Oryctolagus cuniculus: one gene and its partners. Each later gene encodes a partner of the first gene's protein in a complex. Links are inferred from orthologs where the notes say so. Each region holds a gene or a part of one and is shown on either strand. Other genes may lie near its edges. The genes, in order: TMEM216, B9D2, CEP290, TMEM107, CC2D2A, TMEM17 and AHI1.

What was found.
Region 2: TMEM216 (region 1) and B9D2 share a complex: the UniProt entries of both Homo sapiens proteins name them as parts of the tectonic-like complex. The link is inferred for Oryctolagus cuniculus from reciprocal best matches to the Homo sapiens genes TMEM216 and B9D2.
Region 3: TMEM216 (region 1) and CEP290 share a complex: the UniProt entries of both Homo sapiens proteins name them as parts of the tectonic-like complex. The link is inferred for Oryctolagus cuniculus from reciprocal best matches to the Homo sapiens genes TMEM216 and CEP290.
Region 4: TMEM216 (region 1) and TMEM107 share a complex: the UniProt entries of both Homo sapiens proteins name them as parts of the tectonic-like complex. The link is inferred for Oryctolagus cuniculus from reciprocal best matches to the Homo sapiens genes TMEM216 and TMEM107.
Region 5: TMEM216 (region 1) and CC2D2A share a complex: the UniProt entries of both Homo sapiens proteins name them as parts of the tectonic-like complex. The link is inferred for Oryctolagus cuniculus from reciprocal best matches to the Homo sapiens genes TMEM216 and CC2D2A.
Region 6: TMEM216 (region 1) and TMEM17 share a complex: the UniProt entries of both Homo sapiens proteins name them as parts of the tectonic-like complex. The link is inferred for Oryctolagus cuniculus from reciprocal best matches to the Homo sapiens genes TMEM216 and TMEM17.
Region 7: TMEM216 (region 1) and AHI1 share a complex: the UniProt entries of both Homo sapiens proteins name them as parts of the tectonic-like complex. The link is inferred for Oryctolagus cuniculus from reciprocal best matches to the Homo sapiens genes TMEM216 and AHI1.

The regions. Positions count from the first base shown.
Region 1 is NC_091432.1:10,788,760-10,793,162, reverse strand, and holds the start of TMEM216 (transmembrane protein 216), read left to right. Parts: upstream 1-1,360; 5' UTR 1,361-4,403. UniProt on the Homo sapiens protein: Part of the tectonic-like complex which is required for tissue-specific ciliogenesis and may regulate ciliary membrane composition.
Region 2 is NC_091449.1:13,272,996-13,276,333, forward strand, and holds part of B9D2 (B9 domain-containing protein 2), read left to right. Parts: intron 1-776; coding exon 777-902; intron 903-3,338. UniProt on the Homo sapiens protein: Component of the tectonic-like complex, a complex localized at the transition zone of primary cilia and acting as a barrier that prevents diffusion of transmembrane proteins between the cilia and plasma membranes.
Region 3 is NC_091442.1:90,803,951-90,808,573, forward strand, and holds the start of CEP290 (centrosomal protein of 290 kDa), read right to left. Parts: upstream 3,059-4,623; 5' UTR 2,722-3,058; intron 2,436-2,721; 5' UTR 2,408-2,435; coding exon 2,306-2,407; intron 2,159-2,305; coding exon 2,081-2,158; intron 1,089-2,080; coding exon 1,019-1,088; intron 742-1,018; coding exon 695-741; intron 1-694. UniProt on the Homo sapiens protein: Involved in early and late steps in cilia formation. Its association with CCP110 is required for inhibition of primary cilia formation by CCP110.
Region 4 is NC_091448.1:52,666,998-52,671,439, reverse strand, and holds the start of TMEM107 (transmembrane protein 107), read left to right. Parts: upstream 1-1,410; 5' UTR 1,411-1,635; intron 1,636-1,856; 5' UTR 1,857-3,230; coding exon 3,231-3,317; intron 3,318-3,432; coding exon 3,433-3,495; coding exon of another isoform or gene 3,496-3,500; intron 3,501-3,591; coding exon 3,592-3,692; intron 3,693-4,261; coding exon 4,262-4,366; intron 4,367-4,442. UniProt on the Homo sapiens protein: Plays a role in cilia formation and embryonic patterning. Requires for normal Sonic hedgehog (Shh) signaling in the neural tube and acts in combination with GLI2 and GLI3 to pattern ventral and intermediate neuronal cell types.
Region 5 is NC_091433.1:10,482,217-10,486,862, forward strand, and holds the start of CC2D2A (coiled-coil and C2 domain-containing protein 2A), read left to right. Parts: upstream 1-1,471; 5' UTR 1,472-1,810; intron 1,811-4,646. UniProt on the Homo sapiens protein: Component of the tectonic-like complex, a complex localized at the transition zone of primary cilia and acting as a barrier that prevents diffusion of transmembrane proteins between the cilia and plasma membranes.
Region 6 is NC_091433.1:140,425,962-140,429,093, forward strand, and holds the end of TMEM17 (transmembrane protein 17), read left to right. Parts: intron 1-6; coding exon 7-110; coding exon of another isoform or gene 111-212; intron 213-258; coding exon 259-372; intron 373-1,616; coding exon 1,617-1,895; 3' UTR 1,896-2,553; downstream 2,554-3,132. UniProt on the Homo sapiens protein: Transmembrane component of the tectonic-like complex, a complex localized at the transition zone of primary cilia and acting as a barrier that prevents diffusion of transmembrane proteins between the cilia and plasma membranes.
Region 7 is NC_091436.1:33,410,998-33,414,965, forward strand, and holds part of AHI1 (jouberin), read left to right. Parts: intron 1-1,395; 5' UTR 1,396-1,453; coding exon 1,454-1,463; intron 1,464-3,255; coding exon 3,256-3,380; intron 3,381-3,968. UniProt on the Homo sapiens protein: Involved in vesicle trafficking and required for ciliogenesis, formation of primary non-motile cilium, and recruitment of RAB8A to the basal body of primary cilium.

The DNA of each region.
Region 1 (4,403 bases):
TTCAACAATATGAATAAATAGGTGTATGCCAGGAAAAACCTGGATGTTACTAAATCAGTTCTTTGTTTTTTTCTTTTTTTTTCTAAATCAGTTTTTTTATTGTTTGTTTGTTTTAACAGATGTATTTGTTTACTTGAATGAGTTACACAGAGAGAGAAGGAGAGGCAGAGAGAGTCTTCCATCTGCTGGTTCACTCCCCAGCTGGCCACATCAGCCAGAGCTGTGCCAATCCGAGGCCAGGAGCCAGGAGCCTCCTCTGGGTCTCTTGCGTGGGTGCTGGGGCCCAAGCACTTGGGCCATCTTCCACTGCTTTCCCAGAAGAGAGCTGGATCAGAAGTGGAGCCGCTGGGACACAACCAGCGCCCATAAGGGATGCCAGCACGGCAGGCGGTGGCTCTACCTGCTGTGCCACCATGCCAGCACCTCTAAATCAGTTCTTAAGAATCCTTGAGCCTCTAGCATTCACTCATCTGACTGCTGTGTGCTCTGATTTCTCTGGGCTCTCCTAATCAGAGTGGAGCACAATTTTGCCGTGAAACAGTACAGGTGATAATGCCGTGAAGATACAATGACTGTCCAACACAGTGAAATGGTTTATCCATGAGAGTAGTAATAATGACTTAATGCTCTGGGGAAGACAGAAAAAGAAACAGAGGAAACTTAATTGAAAAATGAAAATGAGGCCAGCACTGCGGCTCACTAAGCTAATCCTCCACCTGCGGCGCCGGCACCCCAGGTTCTAGTCCCAGTTGGGGCGCCGGATTCTGTCCCGGTTGCTCCTCTTCCAGTCCAGCTCTCTGCTGTGGCCCGGGAGTGCAGTGGAGGATGGCCCAGGTGCTTGGGTCTCTGCACTCTATATGGGAGACCAGGAGGAAGCACCTGGCTCCTGGCTTCATATCGGCGCAGTGTGCCGGCCATAGTGGCCATTTAGGGGGTGAACCAACGGAAGGAAAACCTTTCTGTCTCTCTCTCTCACTGTCTAACTCTGCCTGTCAAAAAAAAAAATGAAAAATGAAAATGAAACCTCTTTTACATAAACAACTAATGTGTGTTCTAAATTTTTTTTTTTTTTTTTTTGACAGGCAGAGTGGACAGTGAGAGAGAGAGACAGAGAGAAAAGTCTTCCTTTGCCGTTGGTTCATCCTCCAATGGCCGCTGCGGCCGGCGCACCGTGCTGATCCGATGGCAGGAGCCAGGTGCTTCTCCTGGTCTCCCATGGGGTGCAGGGCCCAAGGACTTGGGCCATCCTCACTGCACTCCCTGGCCACAGCAGAGAGCTGGCCTGGAAGAGGGGCAACCGGGACAGAATCCGGCGCCCTGACCGGGACTAGAACCCGGTGTGCCGGCGCCACAGGTGGAGGATTAGCCTAGTGAGCTGCAGCGCCGGCGTGTGTTCTAAAATTCTAATCCTTCTTGCATTTCTACTCCTACAAATATCTTAAGAATTCAGTTTTTTTTTTTTTTTTTAAGATTCTTCATTTATTTGAAAGGCAGAATTACAGAGAAAGAGGGAGAGACAGAAAAATCTTCCATCCGCCGGTTCATTCTCCAAATGGCTGCAATATCCACAGCTGGGCTAGGCTGAAGCCAGGAGCCAGGAGCTTCACTGGGGTCTCCCATGTGGGTGCAGAGGACCCAAAGCACTGGGCCACCTTCTGTTTTCCTGAGCACATGAGCAAGGAGCTGGGACACAAACCAGCACCCTTATGGATGCCGGTGTCAGACAGTAGCTTTACCACGCCACAAAATCAGCCTCAATATTCATTAAAAAAAAATAAATAAAACTAGGCCGGCGCCGCAGCTCAATAGGCTAATCCTCCGCCTTGCGGCGCCAGCACACCGGGTTCTTGTCCCGGTCGGGGCAACGGATTCTGTCCTGGTTGCCGCTCTTCAGGCCAGCTCTCTGCTCTGGCCCGGGAAGGCAGTGGAGGATGGCCCAAGTGCTTGGGCCCTGCACCCCGTGGGAGACCAGGAGAAGCACCTGGCTCTTGCCTTCAGATCAGCGCGGTGTGCCAGCCGCAGCATGCCGGCCGCAGCGTGCCGGCCACGGCGGCCGGTGAACCAACGGCAAAAGGAAGACCTTTCTCTCTGTCTCTCACTGTCCACTCTGCCTGTCAAAACAAACAAACAAACAAACTATATAGGGGCCAGCATTGTGGTGTAGCAGGTAAAGCCATTGCCTGTGACGCTGGCATCCCATATGGGTGCCGGTTCAGGTCCCAGCTGCTCCACTTCCAATTCAGCTCCCTGTTAATGGTCTGGAAAAGCAACAGAGGATGGCACAAGTCCTTGGGCCCCTGAACCCATGTAGGAGACCTGGAAGAAGCTCCTAGCTCCTGGCTTTGGCCTGCTTGCAACAGCCAGTGCTGGGCTAGGCTGAAGCCAGGAGCCAGGAACTCTACCCATGTCTCCCTCACGGATGGCAGGAGCTGAAACACTCAGGCCATCACTGATGCCTCCCAGATACATCAGCAGGAAGCTGGATGAGAAGCGGAGGTGGGACTGAATCCCAAGCACTCCAATGTGGGATGTGGGCATCCCAAGCAGCAACTTAATTAACTGCCCCAACACCGACCCCCAAGTGGCATCTTAACTGCTGCACCAGCTGCTTGCACATTCCCCGACTTAACTTTGATGCTCAATTTTACAAGGTTTGTACAAGGAAGTGAAACTGCAAACACCTGAACCAAATATCAGCAAGTGAAATCCAGTGATATATAAAAGGCAAAACATCTGAGTCAAGGGTCCCCAAAACCACACACAGGCTTGATGATCTGCTAGGAGGACTTGCGGGGCTTGGCATACAGTTGCCCTCACAGCTGTGACAGAATACACAGTCAGAAGAGGGAAAAGGTGTCCAGAGGAAACCAGGAATAAGGGTCTGACAACCTTCTCCCAGTGGCATCACACAGGGTGTGCTTAATTCCACCAGCAACAGTTCTGGGAACAAACATGAAATGTCTCCAGGGAAGCTCAGTGGAGACTCAATCCAAGGTTTTTTGTTTGGAAGTGATCACATAGGCACCCTCTGCCTAGAATGTGTCCCAAAATTCCAGACTCCCAGAAGGAAAATGGGTGTTCAGCAGAAGCCACACTGTTTGTACAGTTTAGGCACTGTGAGCCACTTTTTTTTTTTTTTAAGATTTATTTGTTTGAAAGGCAGAATTACATAGAGATGGGAGTGGAGAGAGAGAGAGAGATCGATCTTCTGGGGTTGGTGCTGTGGCGTAGCGGGTAAAGCCACCACCTGCAGTGCCAGCATCCATTGTGAGTGCTAGTTCAAGTCCTGGCTGCTCCACTTCTGATCCAGCTCTCTGCTATAGCCTGAAAAAGCAATGGAGGATGGCCCAAGTCCTTGGGCCCCTGCACCTACATTGGGGACCCAGAAGAAGCTCCAGGCTCCTGGCTTTGGATCGGCGCAGTTCCGGCTGCTGCAGGCATCTGGGGAATGAAGCAGCAGATGAAGACCTCTCTCTCTCTCTCTCTCTCTCTCTCTCTCTCTCTCTCTGCCTTTCCTCTCTCTGTAACTCTGACTTTCAAATAAATAATAAATAAATCTAAAGAAAAAAAAACAAAAAAGAAAGAGATCTTCCATCTGCTGACTCACTCCCCAAATGGCCACAATGCCTGGGACAGGGTCAGTTGAAGCTAAGAGCCTGGAACTCCATCTGGGTCTCCCATGTGAGTGCAGGGGCCCAAGCACTTGGGCCACCATCTGCTGCTCTCCCCAGATGCATTATCAGGGAGCTGGATGGGAGGTGCAGCAGCTGAGACTTGAACTGGTGCTCATACGGTATGCAGTGCTGCAGGCAGTGGCCTAACTCACTGTGCCACAACACTGGTCCCCAAGGAGCCCTTCCAAAATCCCAGTTCCCAAGCATCAGCCAAGTGTCAACCTTGCAAACTGGCCTTTCTAAGGATAGAGTCTCAGGCTGCTAGATTAGCTTCTTATGCACAATATCATAACCAAGTGGATTTTTTCCCCTAGGAAGCAAAGATTGGTTATACCTTTGAAAAAAAAATCAATGTAATTTATCACCTTAGCAGAATAAAGGGGAAAATCATATGGCTGTCTCAATCGATATAGAGAAAACACTTAACAAATCATAAGCCTTTTAGTAAGCTAGAAAAATAAGAGACTTCCATAAAGTGATAAAAAGTACTTACAAACATATCTATAATTGGAGTGGGTGTTTGCTGGGGCAGTGAGACACTGCCTGGGACGCCTGCATCCCATTTCAGAGTGCCTGAGTTGGAGAACCAGCATACCCTGGGAGGCAGCAGGTGACGGCTCAAAATACTTGGGTCCCTGACACCCATGTAAGAGAACCAGAAGGAGTTCTGGGCTCCTGGCTTCAACCTGTCCCAGCCCTGACTTCTGTGAGCATTTGGGGAGTGACTCA
Region 2 (3,338 bases), on another chromosome or scaffold:
CTCTGTTTATCGCTCTACCTCTCAAATACTAGATACAAATATTTTTAAAAGGAAAAGAAATGGGTGCTGGGATAGTTTTGGATAGGACAGTCAGAGAGAGCCGCAATGAAAAGGAGGCGCCTCAGCTGAGCCCAGAAGATGAGCAAAAAGCCGGGAATGGGGCCTTCTGGGAGCAGAACTTTCCAAACAGGGAAGTCAGTGCAAAGGCCCTGAGGTAGGGGGACAGACATACAGAAATGGGACCAGTGAGGCCCACGGGTGGTGTGGGAGGGGACTGTGCGGGCAGTGAGTTCAGAAAGGGGGGCAGGTGCCAGGCCATGCGGTGCCCTGTGGGCCACGCAGGAGAGTCTGCCGTGGGGGAGGTAGGAGTCCTGCCGGGCAGCAGAAGGCACTGCCCAAGCACTTAGCCCAGTGTATCCCTTGGTGCATTTTCCCACGGTTATCTGGCCCCACAAGAGGGACTGGGTGCCCATGAGTCCATCTCAGTCCTCGGGGACCCCCAGGGGGGAGAGATGGTAGTAAAGTGAGATTGAACTGGCACCCACACTCACAGACTTCTGAGGAATGTGTCTTGTTTGCCCCTTTCACAGATGGGGAGATTGAGGCAGAGAATGGTAACTTGCCCCGGGTTGTACAAGTAGGAAGAGGTAGTGGCAGGATTTGAAGGTCAACATTTGCTCCAGAGTCCACACTTTGTAACCCCTACCCACAAACGCCAGGGAGAAGCCACAATGGCATCTCCTGCCCACTTGTCTCTGTCCTGGCTCTCACCACAGGGGCAGCATGGAAGCTCCTGTCAGGTGTGCGGGAGGGCCAAACGCAGGTGGACACCCCCCAGGTAGGGGACATGGCCTACTGGTCCCACCCCATCGACCTGCACTTCGCCACCAAAGGTCTCCAAGGTAGGTTCCAGGCCTTAGCCCGGGGTGTGCTGAGGGGAGGCGGCCAGTAGCCCCAAAGCTGCTGGGACTGGAACAAGCCTTGTGGGTCCCTTTCCTAGCCACGCCTGGCCCTGCAGAGGCTGAGCTGACCCTCCCCAGGCCGGCTCTGTTGGGGACCCCAGGCTGGGGGCCTGAGGTGGAGGCCAGGGAAGGTGGGTTCCCAGGAACAGGGAAGCAGCCTTCCTTAAAGAGAGAAACCAGGTCTTCAATAAGGGGGAAGCTGGGAGGGCCTCTGTGAATTAGAGACAGGGAGGCCAGGGCTGGCCGCTGTGCTTCAGCAAGGCTCCTCCCTTGAACGAGTGCTGCTCACGGGGAAACCAGCAGAGTGGAGGAGAGGAGTGGCATCAGAAAACCTGGTGGAAAGTGCGGGCCACAGGGTGGGCACCTGGCTCTGAGGTTTGGGTGCTGCTTGGGATACCTGCACCCCACATCCAGTCGTGGGTTTGAGTGCCAGTGCTACTTCTTTTTTTCTTTTCTTTCTTTTTTTTTTTTTTTTTAAGATTTATTTATTTAAAAGGCAGAGTTACAGAGAGGCAGAGGAAGAGAGAGAGAGAGAGAGGTCTTCCATCCACTGGTTCACTCCCCAGATGGCCACAACAGCCAGAGCTGCACCGATCCAAAGCCAGGAGCCAGGAGCTTCTTCCAGGTCTCCCACTCGGGTGCAAGGGCCCAAGCACTTGGGCCATCTTCCACTGCTTTCCCAGGCCACAGCAGAGAGCTGGATCGGAAGTGGTGCAGGACTCAACCAGCGCCCATATGGGATACTGGCACTGCAGGCAGCGGCTTTACCCACTGTGCCACTGCGCCAGCCCCCAGCTCTACTTCTGGTCCAGCTTCCTGCTGGTGTGCACCCTGGAGAGCACCAGGTAATGGCCACTCGCATGGGAGACCCCTATTGAGATCCAAGCTCCTGGTTTTGTTCTGGCCCAGCCCACGCTGTTGCTGGCATCTGAGGAGTGAACCCTTGGGTGGGCGATCCCTCTCTGTGTTTCCTTCTCTGTGTCAGGGGCCCTGGAGTGTGCCATTCCAGCACTATGTAACCGGCATCTCCTGAGAGCCCGCTCTGTGCCTGTTGCTGTCCTCAGACGGCTGACCATGCCATGTGGGTGGCACAGCCCAGGGTGGGCAAGGCAACCTGCAACCTCCTCCCACAGGAGGAGCCCCACCTTGTCAGTGCGATCAGAGAGGGCTTCCTGGAGGGGACATTGCAACTTTGCCGTGAAAAGCTGGTAGGCGCTAATAAGGCAGCAGGATGTAAGAGGGCTGGGTGTGGAAGGCTCAAAGGGCATTTTGTGGACTAAGGGAGAGTGAGAGGGTGGCGGGGTGGGGGTGGGGGGCGCGGGTGACAGCCCCAGGAGCTGAGGCACGTTTTACGTTTAAAGGATCTTTTTGGGGCTGGCATTTAACCTAGCAGCTAAGACGCCGGCATTCCATACAGCGCCGGGGCTTGATACCAGCTCCAGTTCCCGGCTCCGACTTCCTGCTAAGGCGCACTCTGGGAGGCTAGCAGGAGAGGCCCAGACTGCGTTCCCAGCCTTCTGTCCAGCCTAGGCAAGGCCCAGTCTGAGCCATTTTGTGGGCACTGGGGAGTGAAGGATGAGAGCACTCTGTGTGGTATCTTTGCTCAATAGTAAAGATTTTTTTTTTTTTTTTTTTTTTTGGACAGGCAGAGTTAGTGAGAGAGAGAGAGAGAGAGAAAGGTCTTCCTTCCATTGGTTCACCCCCCAAATGGCCACTATGGCTAGTGCGCCGATCCGAAGGCAGGAGCCAGGTGCTTCTCATGATCTCCCATGGGGTGCAGGGCCCAAGCACTTGGGCCATCCTCCACTGCCCTCCCGGGCCACAGCAGAGCAACCGGGACAGAATCCGGCGCCCCAACCGGGACTAGAACCCTGGGTGCCGGCGCCGCAGATGGAGGATTAGCCAAGTGAGCCATGGCACCGGCTGGTAGTAAAGACATTTAAAAAGGAGAGGGGGGGGGGGGGAGGGGAGAGCGCCTCCTGGCTGCCATGTGGGTGATGGAGGGTAAGGCAGGCAGCTGTCCTTTCAACTCTTTGGCTTCCAGTCCCCGGTGCTGGCATCATCTTTGTTTTCTTTCTTTTCAAAAAATATTTATTTTATTTGAAAGGCAGAGCAACAGAGAAGAGAAAGAGAAAGAGATCTTTCCTCTGCTGGTTCACTCCTCAAATGGCCCAACAGCCCAGGCTGGGCCAGCCAGAGGAGCCAGTAGCCCAGAACTCCCTCTGGGTCTCCCACGGGGGTGGCAGCACTTGGACCACTCTCGCTGTTTCCCCTGGCACAGGAGCCAGGCGCTGGATCAGACATGGAGTAGCTGAGACTTGAACTGGCACTCTTACATAGGATGCTCACATCCCAGGCGGTGGCTTAACCTGTCTG
Region 3 (4,623 bases), on another chromosome or scaffold:
ATAAAATAGGAAATCAGAAATAACTCACCCATTTTTACAAAGTTAACAGATAAAAGAAATAGGACTAGAACTTAATCTGTCTGATTCCAGAGCCCTACTTTCTAATCCTTTCTTCAGTACTGAAGTATTTCCAACTTTATCTGGCTTCTTTAGCATATGACCTCATCTCCAACTTCTCATCTTATACTTACTTAACCTACACATATAACAATCTGTACACAATCACTCTTCCTTCCTTCCCAATACAATGAAAAGGGGTCTCCCTGCATTCAAAGGCTAAGCGCTTTGTATCACGTTAATTCCTTCCTTCTCCAGAATCTTCATATATTTACCTCTTCCAACAGTGTTCATATTTTAACCCCTGGATTTGCAAAAACTATGTTTTCTACCATATCCTTCTATCACTATTCCTCAAATCTCCACTCTTCCCCACTCTACCTTAAATACAAACTTCTCTTTCTCTAGATTGTAAACTATCCAGCTATTAACTGTTTTTATTTTGTTCCCAATTAGTTCCCTAATCCTTACAAGAATTTATGGCACATAAAAGGCACACAGAATATGTATTACACAGAAATGAGAACAAAGTTATCCTTGTAATTTTTCCAGTCAAAAGTAATTAAAATAGCTGAAAATAACTCAAAATAATAAAAAGTAATGACAATTACACCCCAGGGAATACAAAAGGACATACCTCCAATTCATTTTCCAGTTTCATTACTTTAGTTTTTAATTGATTTTCTATTAAAAAAAAAAAGAGAAGTGTTTTAATTAATTATGGTGACCTCAAACAAACTAATAAATAAATCAATTCTTTGAAAAGATCCCACCATGATTTCAAGGTGACATAAGAGAAAGTGACTATTATATAACAGATCCAAACTAGAACTTTTAGAAATGTCTTTCTCAATAGATTAAATATAAACATTTTATACAATATATTAAATTTATCTTTATACTCTTTAATGAATAAATGGAGTTATTTAACACTACAATAAACTTTTTACAAGGCACTTACCAAATTTTGCTTGTTCTTCTCCAGCTTTTTCAACTTCTTCCAAAGCTAGCTCTACTTCCTGAGCTTTCATCTAAACAAAATAATCATTTCAATATGCCTTTATGCTATAGGTAAACATTGAGAACAAAGGTTTTGTTTAATTTGCTGTCTTCATCCCTAATGCCTACAATAATTTATATATGAAGACATGCAGTAAATATTTGTTGAATGAACAAATGAATGATTCTCTTACTTAAGGCTACAATTTCTAAATTTTTAAGTTGGAAATACCTTTGATTCTTCCGTTTCCCACAAGTTTTATAGCCAGTGTGACTTTTCCACCCTTTTTGCTATTCCAATAACTATTTTTCTAGCCCATAATTTTATGTATAAAGCTCCTTCATAATGTTACATCTAAATAGCCCCAATTACTTTCAGTCTCCCTCGTGTAACATACCCAGTTTCACATTCCAAAGGTATATTTTTACATCAATCATGGCTCAAAAATTTAATTTACTCCCCAACTGCTGATAACATAAAATAAATCTTTAAGGCTGTCCAAAGCCCAACCCAAACTATCGACCCAATTTGTTTTATTCTATAATCTGCTACAAACCTTCTACACCTGTGTCTTCAAGTGTGAAGCGTAAGTTATTTGTGGAAAGCACTCCAGCTCTAGAACTCCCTTACCATATCTTACCACTGCCTTCCACTTACCTAAAACTCTTCCTCAGTTTTTGTCCTCCATGAAGTCGTCTTACTCCCATCTTAAACCATTTCTACCCTTGACAAAATTTCTGTAGCAGTTAATGTCCGCATGTTTTCATTTGTGCCTCAGAATATGTGCCTCTATGTTATTTTTAAACATACCATTTCTGTTTTCCATACATATTCTTTTAGGAATTGTAGAGTAAACACCATCAATGTTTTACACTCTATTTGTATTCCATTCTTATTTGAAGATACCTCATCCTTGAGCACTGATCCCAACATTACCACATGCTTTCACAGAGATTATTTTAGAAAAGATTCTTAAATTTCCTCTAATGGTCAAGGTACTATTAAGATCTACTGCATACAAACCTTCATTAGTGACTGAGTAATCCTGAAAAGATGAACCACATTTTCTTGACTTTCATTTCTTAGCTCATTTACTTCCACCTAAATGCACAGAAAATCAACCATTTTATAAGTTTTCAGAAACAAGAACTCTTCCAGTTGTACAATTCAATGATTTTAGGGACAACTTAAATTAATCGAAGTTGCATGTATACTCATATATCTATGTATTATTTATCAATTAAGCACCTTGGACAAGGAAACCAATAAATTATCTGCCAGTTCTTCTTGCCGAGGCAGGTCATCTGGGTCAACTTTCATTATTTCTTTCCAGTTTATATTAGGTGGCATCTTGAATTCTTTCACTGTGTTCCACCTTCTGTAACAAAACAGGCGGTTATTAGCATTTCATTGTAAACAGCATTATTGCAGTCGCCACAAAGCGTCAGATATTGTACTGGCTAAATAAAATACGACAGCTTCCTTGCTGAAACTAATCCAGGTCAGGACTGATTTGGGCCCCCTCTTCCAAGCCCTTTACCGACAATGCAGACAGAACAAAGCTGTTTGGTTTGCAAAACTGAAAATGACCCCTAATTCTGAGTGGTAGAAACTGGGAGTTAAAAAAATGCAGAAATAAACGACCGAAACAAGTAAAGCTGTACCAGGGAAACCGGGACTAGAGCAGAGAAGGCAGAAGGATTGCGGACTAGAGATGAGGAGGGGCGGGGTAGCTTGGGTGTTGCATATGGGCCCTGAGGCTAAAGAACCTGCTAGTGAAGAGACGCTGTTCCGTCTGCAATGATCCATCCACCTAGACCAATCCTGACAGCCAGCGGTGGTCCCTCATCTATCGAACCACCTAGCGGAACCCCACCCGGCTCCCGATTGCTGCCTAGCGCGGTTCCACGCGAACTCTTAGTCCCGCCAACTAGCTCCCAGCAGGCAAAGGCGGCGTCGGCTACTAGGCGACACCATTCCCCACCCAGCCCAGACTGAAACAAAGCCCCGGATGCAAGAAAGCCTACATTTCACGACTGTGGTTGATGCTTTACGTCTAGATTTCCCCGCCAAACTCCCTGAACACAGGGTTAAGGACCAAGACAAGGCTTGAGACAAAGACTTCAACTCCCAGGATGCAATTCTGCCTTGAGACTTTTGCATGCTGGGAATTGAAGTCTCTGAGGAAGGGAGGCGGGGCATTCCCGGTGTGCAGTGCGGCAGGCTGCGACCCTACCCGGGAGGCGGAGGAAGAGCCGGGAGGCGGGAGGCGCCGTGGCTGAGGTGTGCCGGCGCTGGTGGCCTGAACGAGGTAAACCATGACTGTGGCTTCGGTGGCGTCACTCTTTGGGCCTCCCTTCCTGAGGTTTCCTTGAGCCATCTCCCTGGTGGAAACGCTCCTGGGTAAGGTCGGGCTGTAGGGCACAGACTGGGGAGGGAAGGAGGGGAGCGGTCCCGGTTTAAACAAGCTCCTACCCTTGGGGCCGAAGGGCTGGACCAGGGTCTAAAGAGGTGGGAAAGCCCCATCTCCTCCTTGGGCCTTGGCAGGCGGCACCCAGCAGCTTGCCTTCCGCTAGAAGGAAAGCTTGTGTTAGCCTTGTTTGGTGTTAGCATTGTGTTGGTACGCGGGGCGCAGACCGCGCAGCCCAGATCACGGTTTGGGGGCGAGGGGAGACTTGAGGAGGGGACAGCACCTTCCCGATCCCGCTGGCCTCAGGCAGCACCCTTGCATTGCCGCCGCGGATTGGAGATGCGTGAGCGTAGAGACAGGGCTCTAGAGAGAGCAGGTTAGTACTTGCCCGGACCGCTGCTGGGGTGGAGAGAAGGCGTCCTGCCGCGGTCGCTTGCTTGGTCACTGAGGGTGGTCTTCTGTGAACCCGCTTGGCAGGTGTTTGCCGCTCTGATTCGTGCAAGCTGTGCTCTTCTTGCTGTTCTGAGCCGTTCTGGTTAGGATACAGCGTTGGTCAACTCTAGCCGTAGACTGAAAATCTACATGACGTTTCCAGCTAACTGGACCACTGCCTCTCATCTTCGTCTTTTGTTCTTTAAACTCCTGTGTGGTTTTGATTTTTTTGTTTGTTTGCTATCATAGACAGTAAATTTTCCATTTAAAAATAAGTACGATTTCTTTCTTCATCTTTTGGGCGGGGGAAGGGGTGGTTTTTTTCTCCCTCCAGACTTAGATTTCTTTTTAAACCACGTGTTTGGGTGAAAAAAGAATAACTCCTTAGGAAGTAAAAACATACTCATTTTGTGGGATACATTTAAAGACGTTTATTAGATTTATGGGAGTGATAATTTTGTTTTCTCTTTTTAGGAAGGATTTTATGTCAAATATCATTTACCATTTCAGTTAATCTTCACAACTGTCCAATAAAATATGTGCATATTGTTCTCATTTTCCATACAAGTTTAGAGACTGGCTGGGAGAGGTTAAGTCCTGTGCTCCGACTTAAATGCTGGAGTGTGATTAAACACAGATGGAGGACATATTCTTAACTACCATACTGCCACCCCAGGCATTCTGAGAACCGGTCTGTGAAATGCTTGTTCTTCGTTCTAGCTAT
Region 4 (4,442 bases), on another chromosome or scaffold:
GTCCTGACTCCACTTCTAATCCAGCTCCTTGCTAATGCACCTGGGAAAGCAGCGGAAGATGGCCCAAGTGCTTGGACCCATCACCCACAAGGGACACCTGGATGGAGTTCCCGGCTCCTGGTTTCGGCCTGGCCCAGCCCTGGCTGTTGTGGCCATCTGGGGGAGTTAACGAGTGGATGCAAGATCTTTCTCTGCCTCTTCCTCTCTGTAACTCCACTTTTCAAATAAAATAAATGCATCTTTTAAAAAAAGGTAGAATGAGAAGCTCGTGTGCGGCGGCGGTGTCGGCAGCGGCTGCAAAGAGAAGAGTTTGGCGCGATGTCTCATACCATTTTGCTGGTACAGCCTACCAAGAGGCCAGAAGGCAGAACTTATGCTGACTATGAATCTGTGAATGAATGCATGGAAGGTATTTGTAAAATGTATGAGGAACATCTGAAAAGAATGAATCCCAACAGTCCGTCTATCACATACGATATCAGTCAGTTGTTTGATTTTATTGATGATCTGGCAGACCTCAGCTGCCTTGTTTACCGGGCTGATACCCAGACATACCAGCCTTATAACAAAGACTGGATCAAAGAGAAGATCTATGTGCTCCTCCGCCGGCAGGCCCAACAGGCGGGAAAATAATGGAGTGGAAGCAGTAGGGGGATGGGGGTGGGCTTGGAACACAGGTGTGTACAGCGTGCTGTAGTGGGAGTTTTGTATTATAGTGATCCTGTTTCCACTTGGTACACTCTAGCCAGATTGAATGTATCAGATGAAGTGTGAGAATGTTGTTCAATCTGAAACCCCCATTGCCCCTTTTTTCTTTTCTTTTTCTTCCCTTTTTTTTTTTTTTTACTTAAACATTTTTATGAGGATTTAGATGGAATTTTTTTGTCAGTTAATGTTGGTTCCAGAGCTTCAGACTGTTGAGATCTGCTTTATAACAGTCACTGTACTAACCCTTAGAGATGGGGTGGGGGGTGGCTCAGTTTAGTTACATCCTCAAGGCAAACTCTTAGTGGAAAATAAATGTTCTTTAGTTATAAAAAAAAAAAAAGGTAGATTGAAATACACAAAAGATGTTAAAATCTATGTGGTCACCATGCTACTAAAAAGATCTAGTTGTGTTTGTAGGACACTACTGAACCGGGATTCTGAAAACTGGCAAATAATGGAAAAAAAAAAAAAGGACCCATTTATCCTGCCTTTCCTGTATGACTCGTATCTCATGGAAAATTCTTACTGATAAAAGAATTCTAGCTGGTAGATGCAGAAGAGGGCTCGAATTAGGCCATCCCCATTTTGCAATCGCTATTGAAATCATGCAGTTAGGCAATGAGGACCCGTGGTACCATTAGGTGAGAATGGATGAAGAATTTTATCACGGGTGGCTCAGCCTGACCGCACCCGAAGCCACCACTCAGACTTCAGCACCACAGACAGACAGACACACAGACAAGCAGGATTCCTGATGAGGTGAACAGAAAGTACAAACCATCCCTCGGGATGTGATCTTACCAGAAAACTGAATGACACATAGATCAACCATTAGACCTGACCATCAGTTTGCAGGAAACACAGTGCCAGGAGAGAATGAAATGACGCCACACGTGGCCCAGTATCTTCAGCAAGAAAAGAAGGAAGGTGAGGTGATGGGGAGGAGGGCAAACCCAAGATTAACAGAGATTTCAGACATGTCAGCCAAGTGGACTTTATTTGTACCCCAATGCACACGTGTGGGGTTGTGGTGGAGGGGAGGGGGCAACAAAGCTGACCACGTGCTGACAACTGTTGAGGCAGAGCAGTGGCCCTCCCAGGGGTTTGTTATACTGTTTCATTTTTACGTTGTGTTTGAAATTTCCTAGGATGCCAAAAAATGAAAAGTTTGCAAGTTCTTTTGTCACCAATTCAAATGCTGAGATACCGAATCCAGCCCTGGAGTGAGTGGCCACCTACGGGAGGACAGCTGGTCACCCGCAGCACAGCCCATGGCCACCAGCAGGCTCTAAAACCCAGGCAAGAAACGACTTTCTCTGAGGCAAGTTTCTATAAACCAAGGTTGTGGACAAGGACAAAGCAGACATAGGCTGCCCACTCCCTGTTCATGAGTCCACACCTAAGGACCTGAGAACTCGGTTTGTACTGTCTAGCCCGTCTCCTAGGCAGAACGCCTACTGAGCAGAATGCTCCAAACCTCCAGCTGTTGAACGCAAAATCCTTGGGTCACCTTGACTCTCCCTTTTCCTCACCCACCCACAGGCCCCGAGCCAGACCCTCTCCCCAATCCTTCTGCTTTGCTCCATCGTCTTTGCTTCACCCTGTCCTTTCTGGATACTTCTATGGCTTCCTCGTTAGTCTCTCCATATTGCAACCTGGGTCGTGGAGAATACGAATCTGACCACGTCGCGCCTGGTGGCTGCAAGGCCTGCCGCGACCACGCTCCACCTCCTTTTGGGCTGCCTACCACTAGGCTTTGCAGTGCAGGCTGACTTGAAGGCTGGGGTTACTCTCCTCAGAAGCGGGGAGGGAAGCCCCTTGGGTGTGCGCAAGCAGCAGGGGTCTTCCTGGAGCCCGTGCGGCCGGTACCTCGGAGACCCCGGAACCAGAGCTGAGCCTTGCGTCCCAGGCAGCTCCAAACCTCCTGTGCGGGACGCTTCGTCCACGCTCGCCCTGTCCAGTCCCGGCGGGGCCGTCCCTAGGCTGAGGCTGCCACCATCTTCTGCACTATGCAAATCCCTCACCGAACCCGGCAAAGATGTCTGGGGTGCTCCGACCACCAAGGGCTCCGTGACAACGGGCCTGCCGGACAAGGTAGGTCCAGTGAACGTTCCACGTTGGGCTCAGGGCACAAGGAAGCTACGAGGACGGAAAGGGAAGACCGCGTCTGAGCCTCCAACCTAAGACCGGCACGCCGGCCGCAGCAGTCCGCGAGCACCTCCTCCGCGGACAGGCCATTCCCGGCAATGCAGCCTGGGGCCGCGCCGCTCCGGACCTGAGCAGCCAGCGAACCCCCGGACGTAGTCCTCCGGTTAGGAGGCTGGCGGCCGCAGCGGGGTCCCCGAACACGGCGCACTTGCACGACGGCGGCTCGAGAATTTACGGCTCTCGCGAGATCTTCAGAACCCGAGGCGCACGGTCCGCGTACGCAGTTACCAAGGCAACGGGGCGGCCCCTGAGGCGCGCGAAGGCCGCGGGCCGGGAGAGGTTTCCCAGCGCCGCCGCCCGCGGCCCTGAGGAGCATGAGCCGGATCTCGGGGCTCGTGCCCTCCCGCTTCCTGACGCTGCTGGCGCATCTGGTGGTCGTCATCACCTTATTCTGGTCGCGGGTAAGACCCACGGCCGCCACTCCGCGTCGCCATCTCGCCGTGGTCGCCGCGCCCACCCCGCCCGGGGTCTCAGCCGGCCTCTCTCACTTCCTTTCCTTTTCTGCCCGCTCCCCAGGACAGCAACGTCCAGGCCTGCCTGCCCCTCCGATTCACCCCCGAGGAGTATGAGAAGCAGGACGTGCAGTGAGCTCTTGGGGGGGTGGGGGTTCGAAGGAAGAGGCGGTGGGAGTCCCGGAGGCCGGGGGTCCTGAGCCGCTCCCCTTCCTCTCTGCAGGCTGGTGGCCGCCCTCTCGGTCACCCTGGGCCTCTTTGCCGTGGAGCTGGCCGGCTTCCTCTCAGGAGTGTCCATGTTCAACAGCACCCAGAGCCTCATCTGTATCCTTTCTGCCCCCACGACCCGTTTCCAGCGCGACTCCCTTCAGCGACCCCCTTCCCCCCAGGAGCCCCGCCTCTGCTTAGGCAGTGCAGGGATTTGACACAATCCTCAAACAGTTGTGGATGCCGCTGTGCACCGGGCCCTGGAGGTAAATGGGGGTGAGGCGGAGGCAGACACACACACACACACACACACACCCCACTATCCTCTAGGAGGGGGTAAAAGAGCCAAGGATTGAGGGAGGCGCTTGACTCTCCAGTTGCGGGCCTCCTGGTGGAGAGTGATTCCAGCAGAGAGGATCAAGTCGCTGTCCGCATTCCTGTGGGGTCCATGGGGGCCTGCTCTGACCTCCCCTCGGGGGTGCAGGCTGGCCCCTCCATGTGGGGTGAGGGTAGCCTGGGGTCTCGGCAGTGCAGGCTCAGCGCAGGCCGCTACACGTGGGCCTGTTAAAATCAGAAGGCAGGGCTGCTGACTCCCGCCGTCGCACAAGGCCTGGGAGCTCCACCACTGGCCTGCCATAGCCCGTCGCTGTTGTGGCCCCAAGACTTTCCTTGACTCCTGTGTGTCGCCCACAAGCCATCGCAGCGCACTGTAGTGCATCTGTAGCCCTGTCGTTCTTCATATTCGAGCGCTGGGAGTGCACCACGTACTGGTACATTTTTGTGTTCTGCAGGTGCGGTTAGCACCCAGTCTTGGGGGGTGGGGAGGAAGGCTCGCCCCATCCAGCTCTTCCCTGAATGTTTGAGACA
Region 5 (4,646 bases), on another chromosome or scaffold:
CTCTCTCTCTCACTGTCCACTCTGCCTGTCAAAAAATAAAAAAAGAGAGAGGATTGGTTCTTGGCATTCTGGGGGCCAGGAAGGCCGGGGCTGAGGGACCTGAGTCTGGAAGGGGCCTTTTTGTTGTGTTATCCCATGGAGGAAGACAGAAGGGCAAGAGAGAAGGAAAAACCCATCCTTTCCCTTTTTTAAAAAAAAGATTTATTTGTTTATTTGAAAGGCAGAGTTACAGAGAGGCAGAGGGAGGGAGAGAGAGAGAGAGAGAGAGAGAGAGAGAGAGAGGTCTTCTATCTGCTGGTTTACTCCCCAGATGGCCACAGCAACCAGAGCTAGGTCCATTCAAAGTCAGGAGCCAGGAGCTTCTTCTGGGTCTCCCAAGGACTTGGGCCAACTCCCACTGCTTTCCCAGGCCAAGGCAGAGAGCTGAATCGAAAGTGGAGCAGCTGGGACTTGAACTGGTGCCCATATGGGATGCCAGCACTGCAGGCAGCAGCTTTACCCACTACGCCACAGCGCTGGCCCCAAACCCATCCTTTCATAAGGAAACCACTCTGTGGTAATGAGCCCACTCCTGTACCTGCATTAGTCCAATCACCAAGGACAGAGACCTCTGAGCTGATCACCTCTCATCAGGCCAACACCTCCACACTGTTGCACTGGGGTTAAGTTTCCAATACACCCAAATGATTGTCCAAGGCTCACCATGCAAGGCCACCCACAGGAGCCCTAAAGGCAGAGGATGGGCCAGAGTCTTTCTGGAGATTTTCCCAGGAAGGAATGGGAGAAGCAGGGTAAGTGTGCTAAGTTTAGTGAGTTTGAACCATGCTGGTGGGATCTGGGCTGCAGGAAGTATTCTCGGGTGTCTGCTACCTGGCCGTGGGATGAGTCAGGACAGGGAAGCACTGGTCTGGTAAGTGAGAGGTTGGTAAAGGTTGATGGTGTGTGGGGGGCTCCCGCTTGCTTGGTTTGTATATGAAAGTAGAGTTTCCAGCAGGCTGTCTCCAGGATCAAGGTCCCAAATGTCAGAGCAACCAGAATACAGAAAACAAAAAAATACAGCCAGTGCGCACACACATACAGAGAGAGAGAGAGAGAGAGAGAGAGACCTAGGCGTGAGCAGACACACACAGAAACAAGTACACTTGGAATGTGGCTTCCCTTGGCCTGCTCAGCCCAATTCCTCTGCCACCTGCTTTGCCTCTTCTCCCACTTCCTTTGCTGCTTTGAGCTGTAACATGTAATCCCCTTTTAGTGATTGCAGTGGGATTCGGAGAACAAGCAGAGATGAAACCTGTGCAGTCAGTCCTCCGTGTTTAGCCCGAAAGTCGCTGAGCGCAGTATTTGCTGGTGGCCTGCGGCACCTCCAGAATCAGGTGACGATGACCTTCTCTGAGTCTAAGTTGCCCCATCCTTGTCATCACCTGTCATTTACATGAAATGCAGGAGGACCAGCTGATGACAAGAGGAAGCTGCACTCCTAGTGTTTTCCCTCATTTTGCTCAGCTCCCCGCTAAGCTGGTTTCTCTTTGCCTCCGTTTTCCTGGGAGGCTTGCCTTCCACTACTAGAAATAAGCTGTCACTTTAAAAGAAAAAAAAAAAAGCCTCCAGTGACCTTCCCTAGGAACGGGTTGCTAAGCTGGTGTTTTTGCTCTGGGCCGTGGCTTGCAGCTCCCCAGGCTGCAGCCCGGGGCCTCCCCAGCTCACTGCCTTTCCCTTCCGGCCACTCAGAGGATTCAACAGCAAGGACCATCTCTCTCCACCTTCCTCCTCTTCCGGGAAGCAGCCAAGTGCCTTTTGTAAAGCACGTAAGGTAAATCAGTTCGTAACGGGAGCAGTGACGCTTTCCTGTTTGCAGTTATGGGTTCCGAGTGAGTGCAGCCTCTCCCTGGGCACCCTGAGAGTAGATTTCATGAACTGGCCGTCCAGGGGATCTCTTCATTATTTACATTTTTACTTCCTGGGACGGGAATACGTAGAGCAGTACTGGGGTGGTTTTGATTCAAGCTGCCTTCTGGCGTCTGGTATGCAGGAAGTGTTAAGTCAGGCTGATCCCGCAGCCTCCAGACCAGCACTCAGCAAATCCTTTGCCGCACGTTGCATTTCTGGGCCTTTCCGTTCTGTGTGGGTCATGGGGAGAAGTACTTGTAGGTGCAAACTTCAGTGGCCTTAAGCAAGGGGTGATTAACCACAGAGCTGCGGATTGCATTGCTTTCCAAAAGACCGCTAGAAAATCCACTGGCTGCAATTAAAACAGATTGTTTCCTTTCACTGCAGAAGGATGCAATGAAAAACTAACGAAGTCTAGCAGGAAATCCAGGTCTGCTGTTGCATTGTACGAACAGTTTCTGCAAATAAATTGAGTACTGGTGTGAAATATCTCTTTCCATAGAAAGATGGATATAGACAGACAGATCTCCTACAGCACATTTACAGAGTCGTTGATTCAAACATTTATTGAGCATTAACAATGTACCAGACAACATGCTTAGGTTTAGAGTGTGAGAAAACAAATTAGACCAGATCAGAAATCCAGCTTGCTGGGGAAAGAGCCCTATAAACAGATGATCATACTACAATGAGCTAAGTGACAAAGGAGATTTACAAAAGGGTCTAAAGGGCTTAGAGCACCTGGGGACCCCTAGGGAGTCCTTAGCATATCGGGTCAATGCATTAGCCATATACCACCGAGGGCAGCTCAAATGTGGCATTTACTTGGGCTCTTTGAGGGCAGTATATACTATATCAAGCTGATAAATGATTCCGTAAAGCTATCTGCCTCTAGCGTGGTACTAAGGGGAGCCATGGTTGGAATAACTCATTGGGTTAGAAAATGAAATCAAAAGGGGTGCATGCGGCACCTCCCCAGGTTTCCGAGTTCCCACTGGAACAGGCTGGGACAGACAAATGCTCTGAGGGTGAGATGGAGAACGTGCTCCGGAGAATAGGGCAGGACCTCTCAGAGGCACCATAAATGGAAACAGAAGACCAATGGCCTTGGACCTGACTGGAGGGAAGGGGTGGGTTATGGTAGCCAGGGCTGAAGGTGGGAAGTCAAGCCTGTAAGTACAGTGGCTCCCATGTCACCCCAGGGCTTTCTGTCCCTCAAGCTCTTTTCCCTCCTCACTCCTTTCTTCACCTTTCCCTTCAACTGTCACCTCTTCTTGCTAATGACACCTCACCCTACCTAGAGCCCAGTGCTGACAGACACTTTACTACTCACTTCCTCCCACTGAGTCCTTACAACTGATTGCTCTTTGAGGTTGGAACACGTTCGCAATTTTACCAGCGAAGGAGCCTGTCTCAGGGAGGTGAAGGCATGGCTGGAATTTGAACTCAGGGCCACACAACTCTTTGTAAAGGCCTCACATGCTTCTGTAAACCCATCGTGTCACTGCTCGACAGAAGGAGGCACAGACTGTGTTGGATTTAAGCGCCGAGGTGGAAATGCTCTGTGAACCGTGTTTCTCCTTTCCTCTTCTTTCATACAGTAGTCCCCACTCACAGGACCCTCTAGGTATGGCTCTGGCCCTCTGACAATGCTTGGAACTAGTTCATTTGTTCAGAGGAAGCATCAGTACTTTTCCTTTAAAAACGTGCTTTCTTTTGAAATCAATCATTCACGGTAGCCTGGAAGGGGGAGGACTCTGGGCTCTTAGAGTCTTGGGGTCAAATTCTGAACATGGCATTTCATAACAACGACCTTGTACAAACTATGGAGTCTGCAAGAGCCTCAGTTTCCTTGTGTATAAATGGGGCATGCGTTGCTGAGCTCGGAGTGTTACCGCGAGAACCAAAAAAGAACGTTTATCGGAAGATCCCAAAAATAGCTGTGCAGTAAATCATAGCTCTTGTTTTGATGTTTCCAGTAGGAATATATTAACAAGCACCCAGTGCATGTGAGGAAGGCAAGCCATGGATGAACACTGGGCAATATTGATTTATCTTTTCTTAGCAACAGAGTTCATAACAAAAATAAATTTTGGTGTCATTTGATTTCCTTAGAATCTCATTCAAAGTTAATGATCAGGAAAGAATGAAAGGGAAAAAAACAACCCCATTACATTTTTCATTTTAGACTTCTGTTGTTTCTTTGTGATTTTTCTTCTGTGTTTTAGTGACTAAAGTATTTCTGGACTCTTTTTTTGCGTTCACAACGACCAGAGTCATTTATGAGACAGTTTCTGTGCCCTTTGGAATTTGCATTCTCAGTGTGGACCCCCGGTTAGCTCTAGGTTAAGGAGGGCCTCCTTCTGGGTTTTTTGTGTGGTTGACAATAGGATTTCAGATCCTTTACTTGCCTTTAACATGCTAATTCCCCAGGAGGGTCAGCTAACCCTTGACCATCTCAAATTTGCTGTTTAAATGACCAAATCCTGGATAAGATTGGGATTGCATGGATGTTAGAAAGGGCGTATGATTGGTTAGCTCCGGGCCTGATGTTTGCATATTCTCCCAACATTTATGGCAGCTTAGAGAGGACAATGATGCTTTAAATGGTTCCAGAAGGTGGCTATGGACTTAGTCATGCGTTTAACAAACACACATTCGATGTCTGTTGTGTGGTATAGCCCTAGGCTCTGGGGAAGGGGAGGTGTCAGGGAAAAAACAATGAGCAAAATACTGCTCCTGCCTTCTTATAGCTATGT
Region 6 (3,132 bases), on another chromosome or scaffold:
CCGCAGATAACGAGATGGTCTCCAGTTTGGCACTGCAGATGTCACTTTACTTTAACACTTACTTTTTCCCCCTTTGGTGGGTGAGCTGCATTATGATGCTTCAGCTGAAGGTGAGTCTGCGCTTTAGCGTCTGCCGAGGCCCCTTCTGCGCACCCTTGATGTTGCTACACTGTCCAGAAATGGAATGGTCTCAGTATTTTTTTAAACCCCAGGTCAGTGTGAGGTTTTGCAAACTTTATTGTTTTATTTCTCTTTTAGTATTCTATCTTGCCTGATTACTACAAATTCATTGTGATCACTGTTATCGTCCTGATAACCTTAATTGAAGCAATTCGTTTATATCTGGGCTACATGGGTAACCTACAGGAAAAGGTAGGTTCCGTTTTCCTTTCTCTCAGCACCGCATCAAAGTGCATCAAGGTTTTCATAACAGGTTAAAGGCAGTGAGGTGTGGTGGAAAGACATAAGCCTGAATTTAGTCCCTGGCTCCAGCTTTGCTCATCTGCTATCGTGGTCTCTTTGCTTAATCTCTTGAGCCCCGGTTTCATCATCTTTAAGATGGGGAAAATACACTTCACGGGCTTGTTGGGATTAAGTGAAATGACTGATATCAAGTCCCTGAATATAGTAAGCACTGAAGAATTGATAATGTTCTTCTCTCCTTATCAGTCTCAAAGATATTTGGTCAATTGACCATGTTAATTTGGATCCTGAATGAGAAATCAGGAGAGAAAGGGGAGTTATAAACGAATTTCCTCAGCCAGGCCCGTGTTTTCTGAGTCGTTACGCTGCCTAAGCATTTATGGTTGCCAGGGTGTGGGAAGGATGCCTGAAGAGGTTGTGGTTTTCTAGGCCTTTCATAACGATGCTCCACCCAGCCCATCTTAGTGTTTTGCTTGGTATTTCTTAGCCCAGCCTTCCATTCCAGGTTGATGTGTTGGTTCCCAGTCATGCTCCTTTCACATGCTTGCTTACTTACCTTCTTGCCTCTTCCTCCTTTTGCACAACTTCCAAAGTTTATATCCTCAGGGCAGGCATTTGGCCTAGTAGTCACAACACCAGCTGAACCACTCACATCCCGTATCTGAGTGCCTGAGTTTGAGTTCTGGCTGTGCTCCTCATTTCACCTTCCTGCTAATGTTCACCCTGGGAGACGGTGGGCAGGTCCCTGCCACCACATGGGAACCTGAATTGAATTCCTGGCTCTTGGCTTCCACCTGGTCCAGACCTGCCAGTATCTGGAGGGTGAACCAGCAAACACAAACTCTTTTTCTCAAATAAAATAAATAAGTAGTTTTTGAATAAATAAAGCCTACATCCTTATAGTTTTTCTTTCACTTACACCAATCACTGTGTTACTACTTGTACCACTTAGTCCAATATCTCTAAATTCTGCAGTTAAATATTCAATGAAGTTTTTAGCATTCTAGGACTGTTTCATATAAGCTAGTTTTCTGATCTATACTGTAGGTTCTCTGAGGAGAAGGACTACATCACCCTCCTTTTGAATTATTCAGAGTCCATAATGTAGATCCTTAGTAGTGTTAAATCCTTGTTTATCTGTGTAAGCAAAACACTGCATTGGCCTGATCCTTTTCCTCATCATGTCATTGCAGGTTCCTGAGTTGGCTGGCTTTTGGCTTTTGAGCCTTCTGCTGCAGTTGCCTTTAATTCTTTTCTTGCTTTTTAATGAAGGCCTAACAAATCTGCCCTTGGAAAAAGCAATACATATCATCTTCACCATCTTCCTTACTTTCCAAGTTGTTTCAGCATTTCTTACCTTGAGGAAAATGGTCAATCAGTTGGCCACTCGTTTCCACCTCCAAGACTTTGACCGGCTCTCTGCAAACAGAGGAGACATGAGAAGGATGAGGTCATGTATAGAAGAGATTTGACCCAGTGCTGCTGAATGAAAATCTCAAAGTTGATTCTAGAAGACTGCGAGAGTTAGGAAAACATCAGAGACCTAGCATGAGGAAAGGTACAAGGGAAGTGTGTTTACTCTCAAGCTCTGAGTCCCAAGGACAGGGGCAGTGATAAGGCTGTGCCATGCATGAAAGCGGCGTATGAACACTGAAACTTAGATGCTGTCCACCTAATGCCAAATTTCTTTGTTGTTTGATGATGTTGGTCTTTTTGAGTGTGAAAAATTCTGCGTGGTAGTTGTAAGTTTACCAGTTTTACTGTAACATTTCCATTTCAGATCTGTAACCAGAAATGTGTACCTTTTAAATGTGTCAGTTATCCATATCTTGACTGTGTATCAGACCATTTTTCTTGAAGTGCATGGAAATGCTGGTCAATATTATTGTGCATCAGACCATATTTATAAACCAAAAAACAAAATTTTTGTATTTGCTGTGGTTAACTTCTAACCCTAGTCTTAGAAGGTATACTGATGTAAAGAAGAAAACAGATTATCATGGTATTAAGGAAATATTTTTGTCAAAGAATTATAACTTTCATAAAACCATGTTCAGTATTTGTGTGGCAGTATGCAAAATGTTTTCATAATAAATTATCAAATATTTATGGTAAGCTATCAGCAACAAACAATTCCTGTTTTATATAGATCTTTTGGACTATGGGTTTATTATTTCACACTACAGAAATGCAGGAGAAGGAAGGGGAAAGATTTCAGAGAACCTTCTTTGTAATGAGCACTCTAATAGGCACATTAAATTTAATTTTGTGTTCTCATGTACTCATCATATTCACTGAAGAACTACTTCATATCCATTAAATTAACATGAAGTTTTATTTGGAAACCAGTCTGTTTATATATATAGCAAGAACTAAGATGGCCAAAGGAACCACACTCTTCATTTTTTTTTTTTAAGATTTATTATGTATTTGAAAGGCAGAGTGAAGGAGGAAGAGATAGAGAGAGAGAGATTGATCTTCCATCCACTGGATGGATGTCTCCTCAAATGGTTTCAATAGCTAGGGCTGGGGCAGACAAAAATTAGGAGCCAGGAATTCCATCTGGGTTTCCCACATGGGTGACAAGGGCCTAAGCACATGGGCCATCATCCACTGCCTTCCCAAGTGCGTTAGCAGGAAGCTAGATCAGAAGCAGAACAGTAAGGACTCATTCTGGCACTCATACAGGATACAGGGGTTATAATTGTC
Region 7 (3,968 bases), on another chromosome or scaffold:
TTCTAAAGTACTGTTTAAATCATTTAGTCCTTTTAACAACCCTTTGAATAGGCAGGCTGGTTTTAAGGTTTAGGAGATCCATGGTCCACAGGCATACAAGTAACCATGGAGACTAATTCTAGAACTTAGGTTTCAGCCAGTTTACCACACTGCGCTATAATACAGCCAGTAATATTGCTGTCCTTATTCTGCTTTATACACATAGGAATATTTCTTGATTATTTCTCCTGCCTCTTTATTAGCTACCTAATTTTTTTTTAAGTGTCATAAATTTTCGGCTCAAAACAGGTTGTACCTAGTACATCCAAGCCTTTTTTTTTTATGACTTATAATTCAGTAGTGTTCTTGTATATTGAAGGACCATAGAATAGTACAGAAATGAAGTTCTCACTTGCTTTATAATTTTTCTACTTACATGCTATCAATTAGTGATTCTATCATTGCACTTGCCTTTTCAGTGTAGATTGGAAAGTGGTTGACCACCTGTCATTCAAGTAAACACAGACCCCTATCAGTAATTTGTAGCAGTTTTCACTATGTGGCTTTAATGATGTCTAGCTTGTCTTTCTACAAGTAGTTGTTATAAGTTAACTCCCATAAGTAGGTATGATTTTATAATAATCTTTTTCTTTTTAGCATTTGTTCTCAAGACCTTTCTGCTGGAGGACCATGAATGTGGATGCCCAGGGAACTGCAGTATTAACTAATAATGCCTGAGGAAGCCCAAGATATTTTTTATATCATCTTCAACTTCATTCTTAACAACAGTTGCATGTTCTATTCTAATATGCAAATCAGTTTGTTTATTTTAGATACATATTCCCATCTTTAAATGAAATCACAGTTCAGGAATGTACAGACTGCGTTTATCCATTAGTAGCCCAGGTTAATTAAATCAAAAAGAAGGTGCAAATGTTTGTGCTAGCCTTTCCTACTGTGATAGATTCTCAAATTTCCACCTACGGAGATACTTAATTCATTAGTTGTGAGAATTGCTACCCACAAGTGTATTTTGCTAGTATAATAGAGTATGCTCTGTGAAATGAGCAATGGAGATGGAGTTTCGGTTTCTTAAAAGCACATTAAAATCTTTAATTAAAGCACTTTTAAGAATTTATTAATTTACCAAGTGACACGTTTACTGCTTTTCAAAACTTTTTTAAGTATAGAAACATTTTATTCAAATATGATCAAGTTTGGGTCACATGCTTTTAAGACTATACAGATTCAGATGTACTCAGGTCATTTGCATAAGATTGAAATAAGAGAGCATAGCTTTATTGGTATAAACTTCATGAAGTAGTGGACTTGTACAGTGGCATAATCTTGGTTGAAGAGTGTTTTATTTATATTTTTTGGAAGTTCTGTATTACAAATAAATCTTTGTTTTAATAGGATCCTGATTGAGTCAGTGCTTTACATTATTTCCTAATGCTTGCCATAAAGCTGAGATATGCCTGCTGGTAAGACCTTTATGAAATTTATAAGATTCATATTCTACACATTTAAAGTTTGGTTAAAGAGGTTCTTTAACAGAATAATGAATAAAATAGATGTCATTGACTGAGTATTAGAGATATTTAATAAATTGCTATTCAGTTTTCTTTTTAATATTGATGATTAAGGTTCATATGTATTTAGGAATGGTAGTTATGGACACTGCTAGACAAGGTAAATAATGATTCCAGAATATAGTTAATTTTATTCTTTCTCATCAAAATTGTATGTTTCACTCTAAAGCAGGTATTGGCAAACTTTTTTTTTTTTTTTTTTTTTTTTTTTGACAGGCAGAGTGGACAGTGAGAGAGAGAGACAGAGAGAAAGGTCTTCCTTTTGCCGTTGGTTCACCCTCCAATGGCCGCCGCGGCCGGTGCGCTGCGGCCGGCGCACCGCGCTGATCTGATGGCAGGAGCCAGGTACTTCTCCTGGTCTCCCATGGGGTGCAGGGCCCAAGGACTTGGGCCATCCTCCACTGCACTCCCTGGCCACAGCAGAGAGCTGGCCAGGAAGAGGGGCAACCGGGACAGAATCCTGTGCCCCAACCGGGACTAAAACCCGGTGTGCTGGCCCCGCAAGGCAGAGGATTAGCCTAGTGAGCTGTGGCACCACTGGCAAACTTTTTATAAAGGGCCAGCTACTATATATTTAGGCTTGGGCTCTCCTCTCAGAACTCTGTCATTAAACCACAAAAGCAGCAGTAATAACTCTTAACCAAATGAGCATGTCTGGTTTTGATAAAACTTTACAATAACAACTGACTGGCCTGCAGGCCACAGTTTGCCAACACCTACTCTGGGGTAGTCATTCAGTTAGTATTTATTTCTTTAAAACATATTTATTAAATATGTATTCTTTGCCAGACCTCATGATAGTAGCTAGGAATGTAGATATAAACCACATAGTATAGTGTGAAAGATAGATAATAAGTTTATTTGTGTAAGCATAAAATAATTACATAATTTTCAGTTGTGTTAAGTGCTATAAAGGAAAAGAACAACTTGATATACTGGAAACAGGAAAATTTGGATGAAGTTGTCAGGAAATGTTCCACTTTAAAGGCAAGGTTGCAACAGGCCACTTAGCACCAGCCAGGGGAGTTAGAGGGATCATGCATCAGGCAGAAGCTCCTTCACACAGGAAGAGGCTTGTTCTGTGAGAGAAGCCACAAGAATAGCAGTGTGGCCAGCATGCAGGTATCTAAGAGGGTATTGGTCTTGATTAGAAGCTGCAGGGAAAGGCAGAATCTTGTAGATCATGTGAAGGCCTTCTTTTCTTTCATCCTAACTGAATTGGGAACTCCATAGAGTTTCAAGCAGGGGACAGCAAGCTCTGATTTATATTTTAAAGAAAAAATAACTTTTAATATTTGTTGAATGCCGACTACAGGGTAGGCCACTGATAACCATTTTCATGCGGAATGATTTACAGAATTACTATGATTTTATGGTAAGGAAAATGGAGTTCAGTTAACTAACATTTCTGAGGCCACATAACTAACAGTCGTAGACACTGCTGTGCATTATAAGTAAAATGTTAGCAAAGGAGATAAGGTAGGGCCAAAAAGTTAGTAGGAATACAGGTGTGTGTTATAGCCAAAGCCAAAAGAAAAAGTATTTTTAAAAAAAGATACAGGTCAGTTGTTGTAATGGAGCTAGAGAATGTACACAGCTATTTATAAGACTGTATTTCTTACCATAATTCAGGTTTGTGTTTGGGGCTGTTTAGAGAAATGATTGAGTCTTTGTTGTTTTGTAGTTGAGAGTGAAGCCAAAGTAAAAACCAAAGTACGCTTTGAAGAATTGCTTAAGACCCACAATGATCTAATCCGTGAAAGAAAAAGACTGAAGAAAAAACTTGCCAAATCTAAAGAAAACATTTCAGTGAGTAATTGATCATTTGGTCATGGTGACTTTTATATCATCCTGAAATTAAGAGTTTTGTATCAAAATTCTAAGGAATTTTGCAAGTTGAAAACTGCAACTCTGTATCATGGTCAACAACACGTGAATAAAATATTATATTATATTAGATATCACATTAGAATCAGCAGCATTATTTTGGAGTATTTTAACCTTGAATGCTGTCCTACCAGAACAACATAGCCACACTGGTGAGAGTGACCAGGAATAATAGGGAAGCTCAAGCCTAGCCTTATTAAACATTTTTTAAAATAACTTCACAGTTTTTAACCCAGAGTTATGAAGAACTTAGGAATTAATATCTTCAAATTTGCAATAGTTTATCTTTTTTTAGACTTACTCTGTGTCATCTTACCCAGCAGAACCAAAAGAAACCAGAGGCTTTAAATAAATATCCTTTTATGCTTGAGGTATACTTTTATTTAAGTTTTTATTTTTTAAAAGATTTATATAAAGGGACAAATTTCCTGTATTTCATATATACAGTTTTAAAAGTATTATGATACTTCTCACACTACCCTACTTCCCTCCCTTCCACCTTCCCCCTCC